Linked DNA regions of Rattus norvegicus. The main gene of each other region encodes a partner of the protein of the gene in region 2 in a complex. Links are inferred from orthologs where the notes say so. Each region holds a gene or a part of one and is shown on either strand. Other genes may lie near its edges.

The links. The genes of interacting proteins can lie anywhere in the genome.
Region 1: the proteins of Rps6ka1 (region 2) and Magi1 are in contact, whole or in part, in a crystal structure (PDB 5N7F), measured with the Homo sapiens proteins. The link is inferred for Rattus norvegicus from reciprocal best matches to the Homo sapiens genes RPS6KA1 and MAGI1. Residues at the interface, in NP_002944.2 of Homo sapiens: Pro731, Ser732, Thr733, Thr734, Leu735; in NP_001028229.1 of Homo sapiens: Arg480, Gly481, Phe482, Gly483, Phe484, Thr485, Val486, Val487, Gly488, Asp490, Lys499, Ser500, His532, Val536, Phe539, Gln540.
Region 3: the proteins of Rps6ka1 (region 2) and Sntg2 are in contact, whole or in part, in a crystal structure (PDB 7QQL), measured with the Homo sapiens proteins. The link is inferred for Rattus norvegicus from reciprocal best matches to the Homo sapiens genes RPS6KA1 and SNTG2. Residues at the interface, in NP_002944.2 of Homo sapiens: Pro731, Ser732, Thr733, Thr734, Leu735; in NP_061841.2 of Homo sapiens: Gly82, Gly83, Leu84, Gly85, Leu86, Ser87, Ile88, Lys89, Gly90, His94, Ser101, Lys102, Phe104, His134, Val138, Leu141, Arg142.
Region 4: the proteins of Rps6ka1 (region 2) and Sntg1 are in contact, whole or in part, in a crystal structure (PDB 7PC8), measured with the Homo sapiens proteins. The link is inferred for Rattus norvegicus from reciprocal best matches to the Homo sapiens genes RPS6KA1 and SNTG1. Residues at the interface, in NP_002944.2 of Homo sapiens: Arg728, Lys729, Leu730, Pro731, Thr733, Thr734, Leu735; in NP_001274742.1 of Homo sapiens: Gly67, Phe68, Gly69, Leu70, Ser71, Ile72, Lys73, Gly74, His78, Ile80, Ser85, His118, Glu119, Val122, Leu125, Arg126, Arg141.
Region 5: the proteins of Rps6ka1 (region 2) and S100b are in contact, whole or in part, in a crystal structure (PDB 5CSJ), measured with the Homo sapiens proteins. The link is inferred for Rattus norvegicus from reciprocal best matches to the Homo sapiens genes RPS6KA1 and S100B. Residues at the interface, in NP_002944.2 of Homo sapiens: Ala697, Met698, Ala699, Ala700, Thr701, Ser703; in NP_006263.1 of Homo sapiens: Ser42, His43, Phe44, Leu45, Glu46, Ile48, Val53, Val57, Ala84.

What each region holds. Positions count from the first base shown.
Region 1 is NC_086022.1:128,365,427-128,369,502, forward strand, and holds the start of Magi1 (membrane-associated guanylate kinase, WW and PDZ domain-containing protein 1), read right to left. Parts: upstream 2,801-4,076; 5' UTR 2,209-2,800; coding exon 1,896-2,208; intron 1-1,895. UniProt on the Homo sapiens protein: Plays a role in coupling actin fibers to cell junctions in endothelial cells, via its interaction with AMOTL2 and CDH5. May regulate acid-induced ASIC3 currents by modulating its expression at the cell surface.
Region 2 is NC_086023.1:151,371,065-151,374,564, forward strand, and holds part of Rps6ka1 (ribosomal protein S6 kinase alpha-1), read right to left. Parts: intron 3,322-3,500; coding exon 3,163-3,321; intron 1-3,162. UniProt on the Homo sapiens protein: Serine/threonine-protein kinase that acts downstream of ERK (MAPK1/ERK2 and MAPK3/ERK1) signaling and mediates mitogenic and stress-induced activation of the transcription factors CREB1, ETV1/ER81 and NR4A1/NUR77, regulates translation through RPS6 and EIF4B phosphorylation, and mediates cellular proliferation, survival, and differentiation by modulating mTOR signaling and repressing pro-apoptotic function of BAD and DAPK1.
Region 3 is NC_086024.1:52,728,173-52,732,385, forward strand, and holds the start of Sntg2 (gamma-2-syntrophin), read right to left. Parts: upstream 2,801-4,213; 5' UTR 2,702-2,800; coding exon 2,630-2,701; intron 1-2,629. UniProt on the Homo sapiens protein: Adapter protein that binds to and probably organizes the subcellular localization of a variety of proteins. May link various receptors to the actin cytoskeleton and the dystrophin glycoprotein complex.
Region 4 is NC_086023.1:14,768,232-14,772,380, reverse strand, and holds the start of Sntg1 (gamma-1-syntrophin), read right to left. Parts: upstream 2,801-4,149; 5' UTR 1,639-2,800; intron 1-1,638. UniProt on the Homo sapiens protein: Adapter protein that binds to and probably organizes the subcellular localization of a variety of proteins. May link various receptors to the actin cytoskeleton and the dystrophin glycoprotein complex.
Region 5 is NC_086038.1:12,378,282-12,382,281, forward strand, and holds the start of S100b (protein S100-B), read right to left. Parts: upstream 2,801-4,000; 5' UTR 2,689-2,800; exon of another isoform or gene 1,638-2,688; intron 929-1,637; exon of another isoform or gene 813-928; intron 1-812. UniProt on the Homo sapiens protein: Small zinc- and- and calcium-binding protein that is highly expressed in astrocytes and constitutes one of the most abundant soluble proteins in brain.

The DNA of each region.
Region 1 (4,076 bases), on a different chromosome or scaffold from region 2:
ACTACAGTAACTGTCAAATCCACAGGCATCTTTCCCCCAGTTCCACCAATGAAGGGCGAGTGCTCACAGGAGAGACAGAGGGTTGGGGGAAGAAGGGAAGGCGCCAGCATCAAGGATCTCTGCAAAACAGTGGAAGGAAGAGCTAAGCTTCTGGCAGCTTCTTGCCCATGGCCAACAGATCTTAGGACCCATTAACCACCACCCAGACATCCTGCTGGATGAGAAATCTTTCTGCAAAATGAGCCTGAACTCAAACCCAATGTTACCCCCCAATAAATAAATGCCTGTCACAGTATTTTCTCAACAGCCCTAACCAAGTCATTATCACCCGGGGAACTGGCACTAAATTCCTAGCTAAAAACTGAATTCCTAACTGCTTAAATTCAACTCTAATACAACATACAACCATAACTCACTTTTACTGAGCACTTACTGTGAACCAGCACTGCTGTGCACACTTCCTGGGTTACGGTCCTAGGAGAAACTCCTAAGGACATAGTCATCAGACAAGGCCAAGCAGCAAGATAAGGACATTCCACTGTTAGGTGTCAGCCTCTGCGCTCCCAACACGGTAGAAAGTCCGGGCTACTGGGCTAACCACACACAATACTGCACTCATCCTCAGGTCATCTGGAAGAGGCCTGCTGCTGGAGAGAGCTGGCTCTCCCAGGCTTTCCTTTGACACGTTTCCTTCAGCTGCTGCCATCCTGACAGGAACATATGGCAACTTTTCACCACATTCAACTCTGCCACCTCCTCTGGTGCTTTCATCTGGGAGAACCTGCGTCACAGCACTCGGGTGCAGGAGGGATGCCTTTAAGTACTGCAGCTATGCTCCGGTAGCCAGACAGAGAGCAGACCATTGCTCAGACCAAACTGCGAGGGAGTCATCAAATGCGTCTTTTAGAAAGCCATCCCTACCCTACAGACTTCTAAGAGAGGCCTTGCTTCTCCCACACACACCCCAAAACTCAGGCCCCTTAAGTCATCCCCTCAAGCCCTCCTCCTCCTCGCTCAAGGTTTAACAGAAAAGACCCATACACTTTAGTAGTTGTGTGACCTTGGGCAAGTCATTTACCTAGGTCAGCTCCGGCTTACTTTTTGTAATATAGGACTTACAAAAACAAGTCGATCTTATAGCATTGTTGTGAATCACAATGAGATAATGCAATTAAACCACTTTACAGAGAGCCTCTCATATAGCACGCTAACAATGAATTGTAATCTCTCAACAATCATCATCAATAAGGACGACAGTGCAAGGGGAGGCGGCGGCTGGGTAAACTTGGACTAGATTCGCGCCAAGAGCTAAACACCCCTTCCCCCACCGTAGGTCTCCACAAGGAGGAGACACAGACGTCACCCCGCTGTGGGGTGAATGCAGGCTCTGCAGGCGGCTAGATTAAGGACTCTAGGGGGTCATAACCCAACCTCACCTGGAGGGCTTGCAGGGTGAAGGCAATTTTGTGAAGTAAGAATTCCAGTCAACCATAAATAGACCCTCCCTTTCCACGACCCACTCTCCAGTTCAGGGAACACAAGCAATGGCAAGCCACCAGCTCGGTGAGCTCATCTATCCCATAAGGGGCTGTGGAAAGCGTCCACCTTAGCTTGCCTCAGTTACCCATCTGCCTTAAGGTGCAGACGAAGCTGCGCAGCACTAGGTGGCTACGACAAGAAGTTGGCAAACCAGGCCTGGGAAGCATCTCCCCGCTTCCCGGCGCAACCCCGGCCCCTGGCCGCCACGCAGGTGGGCGCGCAGCCCACAACCGCACAACTTTGAGTTCATCTGGCCCGGGCCTCAACTTTGGCTCACAGCACTCGGAGCAAACGGCGCCCCCTCAGGCCTCCCCTCTTCTTCGGGGTGCGCCCCCCCAAAGACACGCCCGTCTTACCTTGTCTGACGGCTTTGAAGGTGACGGCCTCCTTGCAGCTGTCGATGACTCCCAGCACGTCATAGCGGGGCAAGCCGGACACCCGGACCCCCTGCACCTCCAGCAGCAGCTCACCTTCAGCCAGCTTCGGTCCCTCGCCACCGCCGGGAAGCCCCGCCGCCTCGGCCGCCGCCACCGCCCCCACGTACGGAAACTCCCCATGCTCCGCGCCCCCCAGCACCGTCACCCCCAGCTCGCCCTGGGGTCCCCGCTTCACGGTGCATTCGTGAACGCGGCCAGTCCAGTGGTTCTTCTTCTGGATCACTTTCGACATGATGAGTTACAGCCCCTCCTCAAAAGAAAAATTAAAATTAAAGAAAAAAAAAGGAAAACTGCTAAAACGAGAGACAGGTGCCCCCACAGCACGAGCCCCCGGAGCGGCGGGCTCACGGGAGAAGCATCTCTCTCTCGGAGCGCGGGAGCGAGCTACTCGAGCCTCCTCGCCCGACTCTCTCGCGCTCTCAAGCCATCATAAAACAAACTTTCCGGGCTCCGTTGAGAGCCCTGCACAGGCGCCCGCGAGCTTTGTTTGCATTCCGGTGCCTCCGGGTCCGCGTTCCGGCGCCGATCGCGCTCCCGGGACCAGAGTCCACTCCGACGCCGCCCGGGCCCGCTCTCTGCTCCGCAGCTTTCTCCACACGCGCCGCGCCTGCTCCGCGCCCGCCGGCCGCTCCTCAGCGCGAGGGAAGCCCTTTCCAAGCTAGTTGCCGGGAGCCCTGGAGACGCGGCGGCGCGGGGCGGGGGTGAGGGGACGCGAGGGAAGTGGCCGCGGCCCCTTTAAGCAGATACAAAGGCTCTGCTTGTTTTGTTACAGTTCATTCTACTCCGCGCGGCGGAGCGCGGCGGCCGGCTGGATAGGAGGCGCGCGCGCATGCGCTCGGCGGCCGCCCGCGGGCAGGCCCGCCCCACCCCTCCTCCTGGAAGGGAGAGATTCCAACGCGCCTCCCGCGGGGTCCTAGGGCCGACCTTCCATTGACGCCAACTTGCTCCTGTATCTGCACCCCTAGAATTCCTACTTTTCCTGTGCCGTCGGCCCAGCCAGAGCCTTTTGGGGAACACGTGCGCGTGCCCCACTCCAGCTCTCGTAACGCAGGAAATGTGGCTTTGGTGCTTAACAAATCCTTTCAAACAGGTGGGGGCTGGGAGACCAATTCGGCGGGGGGCTCACACTCTTGCCTGCCAGCCAGGTTCCCTCCTCGCCCTCGGTGGCCACGCCATCTCTCTCGCGGCCCCACTGCCTTCCGCCTCATTTCCGCGCCTGCTCCCGGCCCAGGGGTTCAAGTCCACATGGCGGAGCCTGGCTCTTGTCTGTGTGACGCTGAGGACCCGAACCAGCAAGACCCACGCACCCTCTGCATTTCTCTCCGCGCCCACCGTTAAACTTTGGGGCCAACTTTTTAGGACAAGGAGAAAACTGTCGGTGAGCGAGTCTTCTACCTAAGACTTCTCATTGTCCTTCCAGCAAAGGGGCGGCAGCGGCCAGCCCCTTTTAGCTTCTGGGAGAGCCGAGAACCCTAAGGACTGCTTTGGGGAGTAAAGATCACCGCAGGGTGCGGGTCCTGCACACGTGTGGGCGCGCCGGCCACCTCGGAATTCGCCGCCCAGAGGCTGGGTGCAGTAATCAGCGCTGAAGAGGCTGGGACAGAAAGAACAGCCCCCACCGCCAAGAGGCTAGTGCAGCAGTGGCCCTAGCGGTTTCGTTTACTTTTCAGTGGTTTCCAATGAGTTCCTCTTTGGTCACAGACTTGAGAATCTACTAGATAAAGGGAGCTTAGTTGGAGCCGCTCAGAAAGGTGAGGTGGGTTGAGAGGAAAAGTCTGAAGTTCCGCAGGCATCTCAAGTACTCAAGACCTTAAGTGAACGAACCTCAGACCTTCCACTTGCCAAAGCTGGTGGAATACAACCAAATCCCCACAGTTGTTAGAAATAATACATAAGCACTGGAAACTTACAAAGTTTATAATTGTATGGTAGCATATAAAATTTCACAGTCTGATAACTGGGGGTTGGCGTGGGGGATGAGGAATCGGAGTCCTTAGTGGTTGGGATTGTAGGGTAGAGATAATCCCCTCTGTAGAACTTAAGCATATATTTAAGCTCTTCAAGCCCTGTTTCTGGAGAGCTATTCTAAGTTAATAAAAA
Region 2 (3,500 bases):
ATGCAGGATCAAGTACAATGTCCCACTGAGTAGAAAAGTGATTCTGGCCGCCTCCCCAAGCCCCAGTCCTACTTTAATGCTTTGGAGCAGAATGCCCAATACAGACCATGTCACCAAACGGTCCTGCGAAAGAACCCAATCGTAAGTATGAACAAGAGCCTGACTGTTCTACAGAACCAGCTCAGGGACTAGAGGCTTTGGCCCTAGGTATGAGCAGAGGACATCATGATTCCCTACTCCCACCCCGTCACTAAAACACATAACTGGATGCCGATGGTTAGACATGGTCATGATAAACCCCCTTTCGAATTCTTCCACTATAGACACAGTTAAATCCAAGAAGACTAGAATTCCTGGAAGTTCAGTGGCCTGTAATAGCTAAGTTTTCTAGCTGGGTACAGAGCTATAATGTCTGTAATCCCAACACTGGGAAGGCTGAGGCAGGTGGATCTCTGTGAGTTTCAGGTCGGCCTGGCAAGGCTGCAGGGTGACTTCATAACTAGCCTGGGCTACATAGCAAATTTTAGGCTAGCCTAGGTTACATTCTAAGACTTTATCTCAAAACTAATAAAAACAAAAGCTGCAAAGGCTGCCAAAGCTGTCGCTGCTCTCACCTAACGAGGCCTCTCTAGTCTCAAGGCCTCTGAGAGGAATCTTGCTTCATAATCTCATGGGTGAAAATACTGGAACCTATAGCTTTACAGGTGAGAAAGGGGAAGGTCAAATGCAGAGGCCAAACCTTGCTCTCACCTTAAGTATGTTCCATTCCTATTTTACCTTTTTTTCCTGTTTATCTTGGGTTTGGAGAGATGACTCAGTGGTTAAGAGCACTGGCTGCTCTTCCAGAGGTCCTGAGTTCAAGTCCCAGGAACCACATGGTGGCTCACAACCATCTGTAATGAGATCTGATGCCCTCTTCTGGTGTGTCTGAAGACAGCTACAGTGTACTTATATAAATATAATAAATAAATCTTAAAAAAAAAAAAAAGAAAAGAACGAAAGAAACAGGGCCCAGGTGGATGAGGTCACATGCATTTGAAGACAAAGTCTCTCTATGTAGATCAGCCTGTCCTTGATCTCATAAAGATTTGTCTGTCTCTGCCTTTTGAGTACAAGAATTAAAGGTCTAGGATATAGAAGGCCCTACCTCAAAAACAAAAATTCTTCATCTACAGGTATTTCCAGGTCAAGCATCAATTCCTGTTCAATGTGGCTAGTCAGAGGCAGGCTGCATGGTACCCTTCTTATATTTGTTTGTTTTGAGGCAGGCCTGAGGAGATGGTTAAGAACACTAGCTGCCCTTCCAGAAGACTAATGTTGATGCCGAGCCCCATGACTGGTGGCTCACACCTGCCCTCTTCTGGCCGGCAGTGTGCACCTTCGCTCACACGCACATAGCATTTTTTTGTTTTGTTTTTTGGAGACAGGATTTCTCCGTGTAGCCTACTGGGCACATAGTTCTGGGTTATACTCACGACAGTCTGTAATTCTATTTCTATAAGACCCGATGCCCTCTTCTAGCCAATGCAGGCACTAGGGAACTAAATGTGGTACACAGACATGTTTGCAGGGAAAACACCCCCCCCACACACTCATGCACGCACGTGTGCGCACGCACACACAAGCTAAACAAGCCACAGTGAGCAAATCAGTCAGCAATGCTTCTCCGTGGTCTCTGCTTCAGTTCCTGCCTCGATTTCCCTCAACTGGACTGTGGCGTGGGAAGTATAATCCAAATAAACCTTTTTCTCCTTGTCACGGCAATAGAAAGCAAAAGAGGGCGCCATGTAAACACTGGGCAGACACAGCAGGATCCCTGTAATCCTAACACTCAGGAAGCGGAGACAGGGATGGATCTGAAGATAAATTGCTTGGCTAGTCAGCACAGTCCTGGAACAACTCGAGACCCTGCCTCAGTATATACACAATGTAGCGTGACTAAGGACAACATCCAACGTCAACCTCAGATCTCTACACTCAAGCACACGTATGCATACCAGCCCGCATACTCGCCTAATCAAATGCAAGCTCACACACACACACACACACACACACACACACACTACACACATACATACTACATACACTACACACACATACACACTACATACATGCTATACGCACACACTACATACACACATCCATCATACATCCATATACTACATACATACATACATACATACATACATACATACATACTACATACTTGTAGATGTGTGACGTGGTGGTGGCACATACCCAAGGCCTAACTCTAACATGTGATGCTCCTCCTCCCTTGGCCTCTCAAGTGATTACAGGTGGGAAGCCATGTCTAACTTCCTATACTTTTTTCCTCTTTGGAAATAAGGTGTCACTAGTTGGATCAGGCTGACCTCTGACTCCTGAGTGCTGAGATCAAAGGCTCAGGACACCAGACTGCCATCACTGTTAACCCTTCACTGTCTGATCAGACGCTCCCCAAAACATCACCCAAGCCAAGAGAGAACCACTATGAGGAACTTGAACCGCCCACTCAGCTTACCCACCAAAGCAACATCAACAAAGAAAGCCATACCCTGCTCTTTGGCCCCACCCATTCTCTCTCTCTCTCTCTTAGTACCTGGGTCATCCTCTCGAATACCCTGCATCTTCCAAACAAAAATCTACCCCTCCTTGCAACTTCTGGTCACCATTTTCCCCGGTTGTCTGATCCTGGGAAAAAGACTGTACAGCTCCAACCCTCAGACTCCCCCCCCCCCCCCAAGGGCTGGGGACCGAACCCAGGACCTTGCGCTTCCTAGGTAAGCGCTCTACCACTGAGCCAAATCCCCAACCCCAACCTTCAGACTTTTGATCTGTCAAGTGCCAGTAACCTGACAGGTCATTCAACCAATCAAACATCTAATTCAGGATTTGGTGAAAATCCCACTGAAAGAACCAAGGAAACTTTCTCTTACACTTGTCCTGGTGTGCGGCACACACTAGGTGTGGCACACAGTAGGTTCTGGACAAATGGTCTTGAGCCAGCCCTCATCTCCCCATTCCTCTTACAGCCAGCCACCTACCCAACCGGAGTCCCCTCTGACTGGCAATTTGGAGACGGTCCCTCATGAGCCAGCCAGTTCTTGCATTCTACCCAGGTCACGACCTTGGACACCCCCAACTCCTCTCACGGAGACTTACCCCTTGGGAGTGCAAGTATTCCACAGTCTTGCTGATGGTGTACAGGACGAAGCTGGCCTCCCGCTCTGAGAAGAATTTCTGCCGTAGGATCTTATCCAGCAGCTCCCCGCCCCTCATCAGCTCTGTCACCAGGTATACGTGCTTACTGTCGTCATACACCTGCCAGAGACCTCGTCATCAGGCTGCGACCTCACCCACCAGCTCTCCAGACAAGCAAGCCTCAAGGCTGGGTTCTGCCAACATTTATTTCAGGGCCCACCACCCGTTTGGGCTCCCGTCTTGCTGGACAGTGGGCGCTGGTCTCATCTATGATGGTCAGAGAATGCTGGAGTCCTCAG
Region 3 (4,213 bases), on a different chromosome or scaffold from region 2:
GGTGTAATGGCTTCCCTCTCGTCTTGTGCTTCAATGCCATCACCTCTGGCTTCTCAAAAGTGTGCTGTGCGAGCTGTCCTGGAATATATATCTGAAAACTATACAGATATGTAGATATAAGAAGTTGTTACACATATTTCAGGAAAAAAAAGACAAATTAAATTTCTGGTATTTTTGACAAGTAAATGCCATTTTCTAAATTAGGTCCTGTTTATATGTTCAGCATGAGACACATCTCCTGGTAAAAACAAATGACTCCCTATTTTAATATCCATGGATCTGGCCTATGATGTCACAGGCACCAAAAGAAATTCTATTGGTGAGATCAAAAGTGTCCGAAAGAAAGAAGGGCATGTAACAGGAGCAGGAAACAAAGGGGAGAGTTGGGATCCTTCGATGCCTGCTTAAGTTATTTCTGCAGTAGTAGCAGTCCTAACCTCCCTCCCTGCAGAATGGCTAAGTGATGCCATTACTAAATGTGCCTTCAGAGATCTCTGCACCTTCCCATGGCAGGGCAGGGTGGATCACCCCGTGAGTCTGCAGCTTCCCAGGTCATACTGTTGTGTGTTGAAGGGTGACCCCCTGAAAACAGAAAAATACTCAAGAAACACAAGTCCTGCTGAGAACTGCAGGCTCTTGGTCCACGGAATGGTTGATCTCAGAACAGAACTTTAGGAAATGACCTAACTCAGAAAATGTGTGTGAGACACCAAATCTGCCCCAATTGCTATGATTCAAACGAGCAGCCATTCTGAAGAATACATTATACTTTTGACTTCAGACAGAAAAATTAAAAGTAGGACTACAATAGATCCAGTGCCATCTACGTTTATAATTAATTTTCTAAGTAGATGCTCAAAATTCTGTCAACTGAAAAGATTGCATAGCTAGGCATTGAAGTTCAATTCAGTACAGTAATTGTTAAGGAACTGTGGAATTCTTCAAAGATGTCTATGCTCCAGGGATTTGCTAGGTGCCATCCATCAGAGGTTCGAGTACTGCAGCATGAAGTACAGTTAACACAATCCTGGGAGACTGAACTCTCCCAGGATATAAATATCAATCTTAGCAGATTTACTTTGAATACAACCTCAAACCTCACATATTGGGGTTTTGCACTGCATTACTGCAAACCACAGGTATGTTCTGCGTGATGACTTAAGTGTGTGGCCTTAACGGTGGCAAAAGTTCCCTTCGAGTACAGTTCTGATGGGCCATTTCACGTCATTAGGGCTCCTGTTACACATAGGATGCTGAACAGGTCTTGGGCTGTCTAGCAACCTAGTGATTGACATGGAGTTCAGCAAGATTTTTGAAGGCTTCCATGAAATGCATGCACTTAAAACAGAAGTCTGCCACTTCTGTTTCACTAAATCACTTCCACTCTTCCTCTAATGATAACAATTACTAACAGGACTTGTTGCAAGACTATTTCCCAAAATGCACTGTGGGAGGACATTCTATTGAAGTCTCGAGAATAGTACGTCAGAAAGCCAATGACAACTTGCTTCCTTCTATTTCCAGGTAATCTTAAGTGTATTTTCTAAGGTATGAGTCCCATCTGCTGTACTTGGGTAACTAACTACTCACATTACAAAGATTTTAAACAAAAAAGTAAAATAAAACAAACAAACAAAAAACAAAAATCCTACCATGTTCCACCCAAAATGTTGAAGATGTCGCAGGATTCCCTAGGATGGTTCAACTCGCAAAGCAGATACACTGGTCTCAACCCAGTAAACATAGCACTGTGCACTAGCTATTTCTGAAGCATTGTGACTGGACAGTTAGCAGCCACTCCAGCCTACAGTCTTAGAGACCTTTGTTACCCTAAAAGGACCTTATTCTCCAGTAGTGCTGAAGGTTGGGCGTTTGAGCATAGTTAAAGAGGAGGTGTGACTGCACCCCAGGACACACTACAGCTTCCTAAGGCCACGATAAACAGCTGCCGTCTTGCACCCTTTCCAGAACACTTGGTTGTGCTGTGTGGGTGGCAACTTGAAGGTTTCCAAGAACTTTCCGTTTTTGTTTAAACCAACATTTCAGGGTTTTGTCAATCAATAGTTTCGTTTTTTAAAAATAGGGGGGTGGGTGGGTAGGACCTAGAATAGACTTTTAAAAACATGTTGCAAAGTTGGCCCATCAGCATCGTCTTGGTTTCTGGAGATACTGAGCTGGTGGCTCAAGCGATAAGCAGAGACAGTTGGCATCACACCTCATCAAGGGGACAACGAGAACCCCTGCAGAGTGCCTGAGTTGCTGCAAAAGCCCCTGCCTGGGACCAGAGAGACCACTCCTTGGAAGAAATGCTGGGCAGAGCCCAAACCCCATGGTCTGGAAGACCTTAGCTACCACGCAGTAAAAGAAAGCACCTGTGCCCCATGACCCAGATGTTAAAGATAAGAAAATAAAAACCTGCACGCTGGTAACTGTGATGCAAGGAAGACAAGATTGCGGTACCCAGGGGCTCCTGGTATCCACTATGTCCAGGGCCCAGAGCCAACCCCCGCCCACAAGAGCCACCCGGAAAGGGGGACACAAGGACTCACAGAAAGGAGGAGGCGCTGGGAAAGGAGGGGAGGCAGGGAGACTGAAGGGACTCAGAGGGCCTCCAGGGGACCCCACTCACCCGCGCGGGCACCAGTAGGTGACTAGGACGCCCGCGGGGGGCGGCCAGGGACTGCGATCCCTCGGCGCTCATCGCCGCCCACGCGGCTAGGCGTGCGCTTCGGGCTCCGGAGCTCCTAAGTCCAGCGCCTGCACGGCGCCCGCGCCCCTCTGTGGACAGGCTGGGGCGGACAGAGCCAGCAGCCACTGCGCTAGCAAGCAGGGCAGGCTCGGAACCCCGCCCACCTCCCAGCAGCCCGGCCCCTACTACTCTGTTCACCGCCCACCAAGTCCCGCCCGTTACCATCAAGCCCCGCCTTATGCCCGGTAACCCCGCCCACCAGCTCTGCCCTTCCACCTCCAGTCAGTGATGATGGTTGTACTGGTTTGTGAGAACTGTAAAGCCAGCTCCCACCTCCGTGCGGGGACCATCACTTCCCCCAGCTTGGCCAGCAAAGTACAGAGCTGAAACAGGCTCAGATGCGCGCCTCCCTTAGGGTTGGAAGGCTAACCGGGCACCTGGGCCATTGGGGACCAATAAGCTATTCCCAGTGGATTCTGGTGGTATCATCACTAGTACTTACAGATGCTTCCTGGTCACTTCTGCTGGCAAAGCTTGTTAGATTCTGAGTGTGGTGGTGCTTTATCCTGACAGCAGCCTTGGGTCCTTTTTCCGGATTTCCACACCATAACCTAGCCTGGCTACCCTAAGGATCTACTTTCTGGGGAAAAAAAGAAAGCATTAGTGGTCTCCATTCCTGTATGCCTGTCTTTTCCTCTCGTGGCATCTACTTAAGCTACAAGCTCCACTCTGAGGGCAGTCTAGGTTCTGTGCCCCCAATTTTACTCTGTCTCCCACACTTTCCAAAGAGGCTCCAACGTAGTCACCAGTCTAAGTTGAAAGTGTCTTTTATTAGATCAGATTTGTGTCAAAAGAAATATCTTAAAAGTGATATTGGGACCCCTAGCTACTATCACTTACAGGCATGGATGCACCAGTGGACAGCATCCTGAGATGCTTATCTTGACTTTACTGCTGCACTGTCAGGAAAAACTGGCAGTCTAAGGTGGGGTTTTCATGGTCATGGCTCACGATGGACAGACAAATGTGGAGCAAACCATTCGCAGCTGAAACCTGAGTGGCCCTGGGTTTGTGACCCAGCGGTACAGGAGCAAGGCTTTCCAGGTTCCCAAGTCTTATTCACCCTCTGCCTACAATTCCACAGCTTTGGTTCATGAAGTTGCATTCTGAAAAGTACATGAGTTCAATCTCTGAGAAATCAGAGGTCTGAAGATAGACCTCTACCTAAATTACAAAGGGAAGATTCATCCTGTAGTCTGAAGGAGAGGTAAGCATGTACCTATTCATCCTGTTAGAGTTGGTAGACTGGATACAAGTTCAAATTTTGCAGGTAAAAACAAACAAAACAAAACAAACAAAGAAAACAAAAACATGGGCATCTTCTGCTGAAAGCTAAGCTAATTATTAATTTGGTAAATACTGTGTCTTTCTTGGTGCTCACTGAAACCCTTTCTGTGTTCACTCCATGGTCCTTGATTCAGGATACTTGACACACACTGGGGCTGCTGTGGGAAGCTATACAAC
Region 4 (4,149 bases), about 140 Mb from region 2:
ACTTTTAGGTTATTCAGTTGCTGTTCTACATAGAGAAAGCCTGCCCCCTCCACCACTGAGAAGGGAACTGCGGTCAACAAGACACACCGGCTTCATTCCAGAACACATTCCCACATTTCATTTTATGCTCCACTGACTTGGGGAGTCCGTCTACACTAATTAATTAAGGACCAAAATAATAGTCTTGTCATGAGCTGTATAACTCTGCAAAATGTGATGCCATCTCCCACGTGGTAGGTTGCTTCCACATTTCTTAAAGTAGAAGATGAAAGGGGGTCCACAGGAAGAATCCACATCAACTGCTGCAGCCTTCTAGTCCTCCGAAGATCATTTCTGACCTATCTAGGGCAAGCATGCCTCCAAGGAGCTACCGCTCTCTATCGGCGATGCAGGCAGCTACGTGGTGAGTGACAGTTAAAAATGACAAGTCCTCTGAGTAGAACTGTTACTCTCTCCCGGTCACTATAAAACAGGCAACCATTAGTCTACCAACAAGTACCAGCCTGGCTGAGGAGATTAGGTGTTCAAATCAAGAAAGTGAGAGCTACTGTGGATGAGATGTAAAGGTATTTTGGGGGGGGGCTATACATGGTTTATAAATTATTTTAAAAAAATCCTTCCAAACTCCTGCAGTTTTTCAAGACAAACTCTTTCCACAGACTCGGCTAAGCATATGCCGTCATGACTATGAGAATCATTCCTGTGAGTCAAAGCTCTCCGTTGAGCAGAATGCGCTCAGTGGAATTGAATGAGTTCTTTCTGAAATGCCAGCCATGGACTATACATTTGTATAACAGCTTTTTACTCAGAAAACCCTTTTCATTAAAGCCCAATGCTTATCAAGGTCACTGTAGAAGCTGTAATCTTAAAGCTTTAGAGGAAGAGTCTAGAAAGAAGTATCAAAAAATTAATTATCATGTTAAGATTTATGGTCTGTTAATAACTAGTCTCTGTCACTTGATTTCAGAAACAAGTACGTTTTGTAGAACTAATCAGTCAGGATGTTGAGGGAACCCCCACTCTCCTACAGATGCACAAGAAAGCTGCTCACTTCCTGCCTTGAAATATCTGTTGATAAGTCTAAGGTCTAGCTACACTTGGGGGCTCTGACTACAAAAGAGATCAGATATTGGTGTATACATATTCTGTGCCTGTAAATATTTTAGCAAATTATAATAATCTAAAATACTAGAAGAGGTGATTGAGCCATTTCCAACTTTTTGATATATATTTCAAATATGTATTTCAGAGGCAATGCAACACAACCAGAATCGCTTTTCACTGAATACGCATGATCACTAAGCACCAGTGGACATTAGTTTTAAAGAAAACAATAAAACACATAGGGATCCCCAAAGCTGTTAGTTAAGAAGGCAGAAAATGTCCAAGTAAAAGTTTGCTATGCTAATGGAAGTCAGCTACATATTGTTGTCACCTTCGTCAAGAGATTCCAGAAAAGTAAAATTCCAGACATAAGAAATTTTTTTCTAAGATATTAATTTAGGAATTATTATTTTTAAACAAACAGAAGAACTCATTTTCCTTAATCCTCAACATGTGATGTTTGCATCTTTTCTTTTAAACCTTGCAAAGTCCTTAGTGTGTGTTAAACGCAGAGGAGAAAGTATTATCACGTACCTGCTGAGCAGAGGTGTCGACGCCTTTTACTCCACTTCTTTAACGTCGGGGTTTAGAATCTCCGACCTCTCACAAAGCTATCTCCACAGCAGCTGCAATCCACTCAGGGACGTGCTTATTTTAAAAACTGTGGGCCTTTGAGTATTTCAATTCCTACTGCAGCGCCCATGGCTCCTTGGTGCCTCTAAGAACTTCAACTCCACTCTTCTGCCTGCATTCCCCCCAGTTCCGTTTAGAAAATTCTGCGTAAAGTTGCTGCCTAGAGTTTAACTCCGTGGAGCCGAGTAGATATAAGTGGCAGAGGATGAGAAGGGCTGGTTTTCATCCATCAAAGAAGGGGACTGGAGGCACCGCCTTTTAGCTGCTAAGAGCTCTTGTTGAAGACTGTGGCCGCGAGGACAGCAGCAAAGGCAGCAGCAGCAACACAGTTGGGTCCCCCCAGGCAGCTACGCAGCTGGGAGACGCTGTCCATCCCCTCCGGTGCTGAAGCGAGGGGGACAGGACCCCCTTAGCCCACTCCAGACCCTACACTCCTGCTAAGGCCGCTTCCAGACTTCCAGCTTTGCCGTTTCTCCGCCGTGTTTCACTACTCGGGGATTAATGATCTCTCCAGCTTGATACCCTCATGTGTATACGTTGGCAGCGTTTCCAGAGAGGCAGGAATCCGTGGGAAAACAAGAGCTGAGCCTCTTCTGAGTTCACAGCGGCTCTGAGTAGGTTTCCTAAAGGTAGAAATGAAAAAGAACGCACGAACACGGGCGCGCGCACAAGCGCTCACAGGGAGGTGGGGTTAGAGAGAAAGAGACAGGAGAGAGAAGGGGGAGGAGGAGAGAAGCTGAACACTGTGGAGACTGTAGAGGTGCTTTGGGAAGCTCGTGGGTCCTTAATTACATAAGATGATAAGGGCTATTTCGGGGGTCCCCCGCGATCTTGCTTCCCAGCCAGAGCGGGGACACGTTCACATTTTCGAAGCTCTAGGTGGAATTCCGAGACGACAGAGTCAGGATGCTCAGCTCCCAGATACACAGACAGACTCTTGCCAGAGAATGCAGAAGCCGTGGAAGGGCCAGGAAGAATACCTTTGTTTCCAAGAGATTGTAGCGCGGCAGAGAGCTTAGTCGCGGCCGCGGGACTCGGCGCGGGCGGCAGGGCCAGGGAGCTTGCGTTCCAGCGCCCGCCCTCCCACCGCCCACCGCTGGGTTCCCGCAGGGGCGGGGGCGTGTCGCCGCACAAAAGACTGGATAAGGGTAGTGGATCAGGTAAGCAGAGCTGCTAAGCCATCCCTAAAAGGATCCCGCAAGGCCTAGGTACCAGACTGAGACGTCCCCGGGGACGTCTCAGAAGCTCAGTGGTCAGGCTTCTAATGGCGCCTTACTGACCCCACTCCAGCAGAGAAGCTTGCCTTAGAGCTGGACCCGGGTTCGAGTTGGTGGCCCAATAGGAGGCCGCCGAGGCTCAACCGCCCACGCAAGGCAACCGGTACAGGCACGAATGGAGCGAGATGGGGAAATTGAGATACACATAGTGGAGAATGGGGCAAGCTGCCTAACACAGCGCCCTTGCGGCGCTCCGGGTGACCGTGGTAAGGCTGAAGAGCGCACCACAAACGCGAGCCTGGGCAGCGCCCAGCTCCAGCCAAAGAACTTGTGTAGCACAGACTTATGCACCCCGAGTTTGTTCCGACCGAGGGGCGTTGGGGCTTAGCGTGGGGACAGCGCGTGGGCACGCAGTGCTTCTGGATGCTCGCTCATCTCCTCCTCCGACGGCTCTGGGGAATTCGTGGAGTGATTGCACGCGTGTCCCTCTATGGGGTTCTACTCCCCCTCGGCCCGGGTCGCTGCGCCTGCGGGTCCCGGCTCACCGGGCGGCATTCTGTGAGGTTCACCGGGCTGCAGGGTGGGCTCTGGAGGCTACAGCAGGGCCAAGGGCCAGGCCACTTCCCGGAGGGAAACTAGGGAGTTCCGGAGAAGTGCATGTAGAGTCCTTCTTCCAGCACAGACCCTCCTTTCCCTGGTCTGGCGCCATTCCTTGCAGCAGCTGCAACCTCAGTCTCCTTCTAGAAGTGTCGCCCCGTTTCGGGATGCTTTGTGAAGCTTGTGGAGTTACCCCTCACAGGAAAAGCTCAAGGGACCAAGCTTGCCCTCACTCTCTCCACGTTTGAACTCTAGTCCAAAGGTTGTCCGGTTGGTGCTGCGCTTGAGCACGCTGAGATAACGCTACAGAACGATGCAATTTGGGACTAGGAGCTAATTTTAAAAGATCTGCTTTGTTTTCTCCGTTTCCTGGAGAAACAAATCCACTGGGGTTACGGTAAATTACGTTTCCCCTTCGTTTTACCAAGGCAAACACGTGTTTCTGGTATCCACGCAAACAAGTACGGGTTTGTACAAATAAGTTTTTTAAGGTGCCCTATTTTTTTGTCAGAGAATGAAAATTGCTTGCTTAAAGGCTGTTTGTCTGTTGTGTCAACCCCTGCAAATAAATGGGTTTTCTTTGCTGTTTTGCATGTTT
Region 5 (4,000 bases), on a different chromosome or scaffold from region 2:
GGTCCTAAGTTCAATTCCCAGCAACCACTTGGTGGCTCACAACCATCTGTAATGGGATCAGATGCCCTCTTCTGGTGTGTCTGAAGACAGTGACAGTGTACTCACATACATAAAATAAATAAATACCTTTAAAAAAAGACCTAACAAAGCTCATTTTCATATGAATTAATATATCCGTTTAAGATTTTAAATAAAAACATGAGGTTTTTTTTGGATGAGGTGGGGGCAAACAAAAAAAATAGACTGAGGGGTTGGGGATTTAGCTCAGTGGTAGGGCGCTTGCCTAGCAAGCACAAGGCCCTGGGTTCGGTCCCCAGCTCCAAAAAAAAAAAAAAAAAAAAAAGTAGACTGTAAAATTCATCCGGATTAAAGGTATCCCTGTACCAACTGTTTTGAAAAGTAACAGTGAAGCGACCTTGCAGCAACACGGACTCCAAGGTCATATGATTCTCCTGGCATGCTGACAAAGGGAGACCAAGGCACAGCCCAGCGTTCTGTGCTTACTCATTAGCCTGGCCTCAGAGTACAGCAGCTTCTTTGTGAACAGGCATGCGTGCCTGCGAGAAGCAAACAGCCTTCAAGAGAGCACCTGATGCAGCAGCCACAGCCTGGGGAATCGGGGATGGCTGCTCAACTCTCTGAGAGAGAGGCGGCCTTGGGCTCATTTCAGAGACCAGCTACTTAGGCAGAGACAGCTCCTGGCCTTGAGTTCTGATCCTTAAGCCAGAATCTGCACCGTCATAAGTAAACAAACAAAAGACACTCAAAAGTCATTTCCATGATGAACATATTAGATTTTAGTAACTTCTTACATTTTTTATGAACGATCTCAGCAAGAGAAAGGAAGGTTTTTGGCCTTTGTTGACCCTCTGGTTCCTCAGTTTGCTCGTCTTTTCCAGATACCTGAAGTACCTCCCATAAATAGAACCTGAAGGGATAAGAGGTGATGCTCTCTCTTGGTTTCTTAACTTGTGTTTTCCGTTCTTGTTGGTCTTTTAGCTAAAAAGAAACTCGTGGGGTTGGGGATTTAGCTCAGTGGTAGAGTGCTTGCCTAGCAAGAGCAAGGCCCTGGGTTCGGTCCCCAGCTCCGAAAAAAAGAAAAAAGAAAAAAGAAAAAGAAGAAGAAGAAGAAAAGAAGAAGAAGAAGAAGAAGAAGAAGAAGAAGAAGAAGAAGAAGAAGAAGAAGAAGAAGAAGAAGAAGAAGAAAAGAAACGCGTGTGTGTCTGGGTGTTTTGCAGGCTGGTATGTGTGAGCATGCATGGTGCCCACAGAGAGGCTGGGAGAGTGTCAGATCCCCTGGAACTGGAGTGACAGGCAGTTGTGAGCTGCCAGTGTGGATGCTGGGCTGAGCCATCTCTCCAGCCCTGGTTACCTTTTTTTTTTTTTTTTCCTCTTTTCTTTTTTTTCTTTTTTTCGGAGCTGGCAAAGTGCTAGGCAAGCGCTCTACCACTGAGCTAAATCCCCAACGCCCCTGGTTACTGTTTTTCTTTGTTTGGTTTTTTTATGAAACATTTAGTGGCATGAAAAGAGTGGTGGGGAAGGGAGGGGAAAAGAGGGGAAGGGAGGGGAGGGGAGAGGAGGGGAGGGGAGGGGAGGGGAGAGGAGGGGAGGGGAGGAGAAGCCAGGCGCAGAATTACCTGCCTGTTTTTCCTTTTCAGATTGACACGAGGTCTCACTGTCCCCAAGTTTTCTCCTAAATCATGATCTTCTTGCCTCTACTCTCCCGAGGGTTGGCTCGTACCCAGCACAGTTATTGATTTAAAAAAAAAAAGTCTCCAGAAACTCTGCATCATACTGATATTGCTCAAAGTCCTAACGGCTGGGGGAGGGAAAGGCTAAATGATCTTTTTGTGGATAAGGACTAAGGCTTAAGAACAAACGGTGTCACACCACATCCCATGTGCTAGGAAAGTCCGTAAAATTTGAGTTTTCTCACGACTACATTAGACATTCCAAATTTTCCCCTATTCTTTCAACTAAAGAAGTTAGTTGTCTGTCTCCTAAGACAAATGGAGGAGACTTTATAAAGAAAACACAGGGCTTGAGCTTCTTGGAATGGTACTGCCTGTCCGGGGAGGGGTTCCCCACAAAGACTGCCCCTCCCCAGGAGGGGTAACAGAGAAGTCAGGGCCACTCCCAAACCCTCATTTCTCTGCCCCAATTCATAATGATCTGAAAAGATTCAACTACTTTGCAATTTTTTTTTTTGAGCGGTGTCTGGAGATGTAGTTCTTGGCATTTCAAAGAGGGAAACTGGAAAAGCTCACCTGGGTGCTCCAGGGACCCCCGGGAAAAGCTACCAGGAGAAAGGGAGCGCTGTGGTTGGGGATTTGGGGTGACTCTATTCCAAGAAAGAAAATCCTTCCCTTAGGACGTAGAGAAGAAGCCCTAGATGCCATCTCTGAAAACATCAGTAGTCATTCTGAATCTTGAAAAAATGACCCAAGGGATCTCTGGCTTCACGAAAACAGGGACAGACACAATTCCATGGCAGCACAGATGTCAACAACTGTCACAAGGAAACAAGAAAGGCGGCCTCATCGGAAGCCTTGGAATGCAGCCAAACGTCCCCAAAGGTTTTCTAAAAAGTTTCAAAGCTCAATTCCCATCCTATCCCCTTCACCCCCTCACCCTGCAAAGAGAGAAAGAAGCGGTTTTTCTTGGGTCCTGCCAGTGACTCTTTCTCACCTCCTGGTCACCTTTTGCCGCCGGAGTCCTCTCTGGCTTCGGTGTCCGAGGACTAGGAGGGTAGACAGAGAAGCTCCTTTTTCTTCCTCCAGAGAGGACTGGGTGTGGACTTGGCGCAGTCCGCTGCAGGCTGAGACTGCGACTGCCAATAGGGGCCAAGGTTAGGGAGGAGCTGGACAACCACCGGGCCTGCATACAGGGCCCCATTGAGTGGTACCCTGGGGACCCACTGGGCAGCCACAATTGGATCTGATCTAGAAAGAATATGGGTCTGTTGGGCAGGAAATGTGGAGTCAGCTTCTCTGTGCCGTTTAAATTTAGGATATGAATATTGATGCTGTTCCAGAGGCAAGATTGGGGGGCTGGTGGGAAGAGGGGAGAGACAGCGTGGGTGAATTGATTCAAACAGCAGATACGCAGCCAAGAACTGGAAACTTCTGGTGCTGAGTGCTGGAGGCTGTGTGGCTATGGCTGGCTTCCAAGGAGGCCTCTTGAGCATCTTGCCTGCCTGCCAGCTTTCTGGTCCCCTCCTACAGGTATGCCATGCTGTGGCTGGTGATGCTGGGCAGTGGTTACCCCCAGACTCCTCTTTGAACCCAGTCTTCTCAGGGACCAGGGTGCGGTAAGTTTCTTTCTAACTTAGTACTTTTGCACAGAGGGAAAGACACGCCAGCTGTGTCTTAGGCCTCTCTCCCTTCTCACCCTGGTCAAAGGTTGAGCTGTCTGCACCAGAAATGCTTTAGAGATGGCCCGTCCTGTGCTCTTTTCACATAGGGAAGAAACGCTGTGCCTCTTGTCACAAAGGCACAAAACTAACCCAGAAGACTCCCCAGTGGAGGATAGCTTAGTCACACACGTCCCTTTGCACCTCGAGTCCGGAGTGTCTGTGGGAAGAGCTACATGACAAAAGTCACCCAAATATCACAGAGACCAAGAAGTTGACTCGACATGCTAGAGGTAGAATGAAGTTTTCCTGCCCTGGAATGTAACCTTTTCTTGAGGAAAGGTTAGCTTTGGGGTGGAGGTATAAACCCCTGCTCTGGTTCGACTCACCATTTATCTATAGGAGATCAAAGCCACTGGTCCCCAAAGATTAGGTCCCCTAATCTTCTTAGTCATCAATAGACAATAAAAGGGAGCTGACTGGGGGAGACGGTTATGATAATCATGGCTGGGAAGAGACCCTTACTTTGTGATGTCGCTTGGGGTACCGGATGATCGAGGCTTCTCTGACCCCTCCCTAGCTGTCTTCAGTCAGTTACACTGACTTTAAGTAGAGATCTTCAAACCCGAGTGCATGAACATACACACG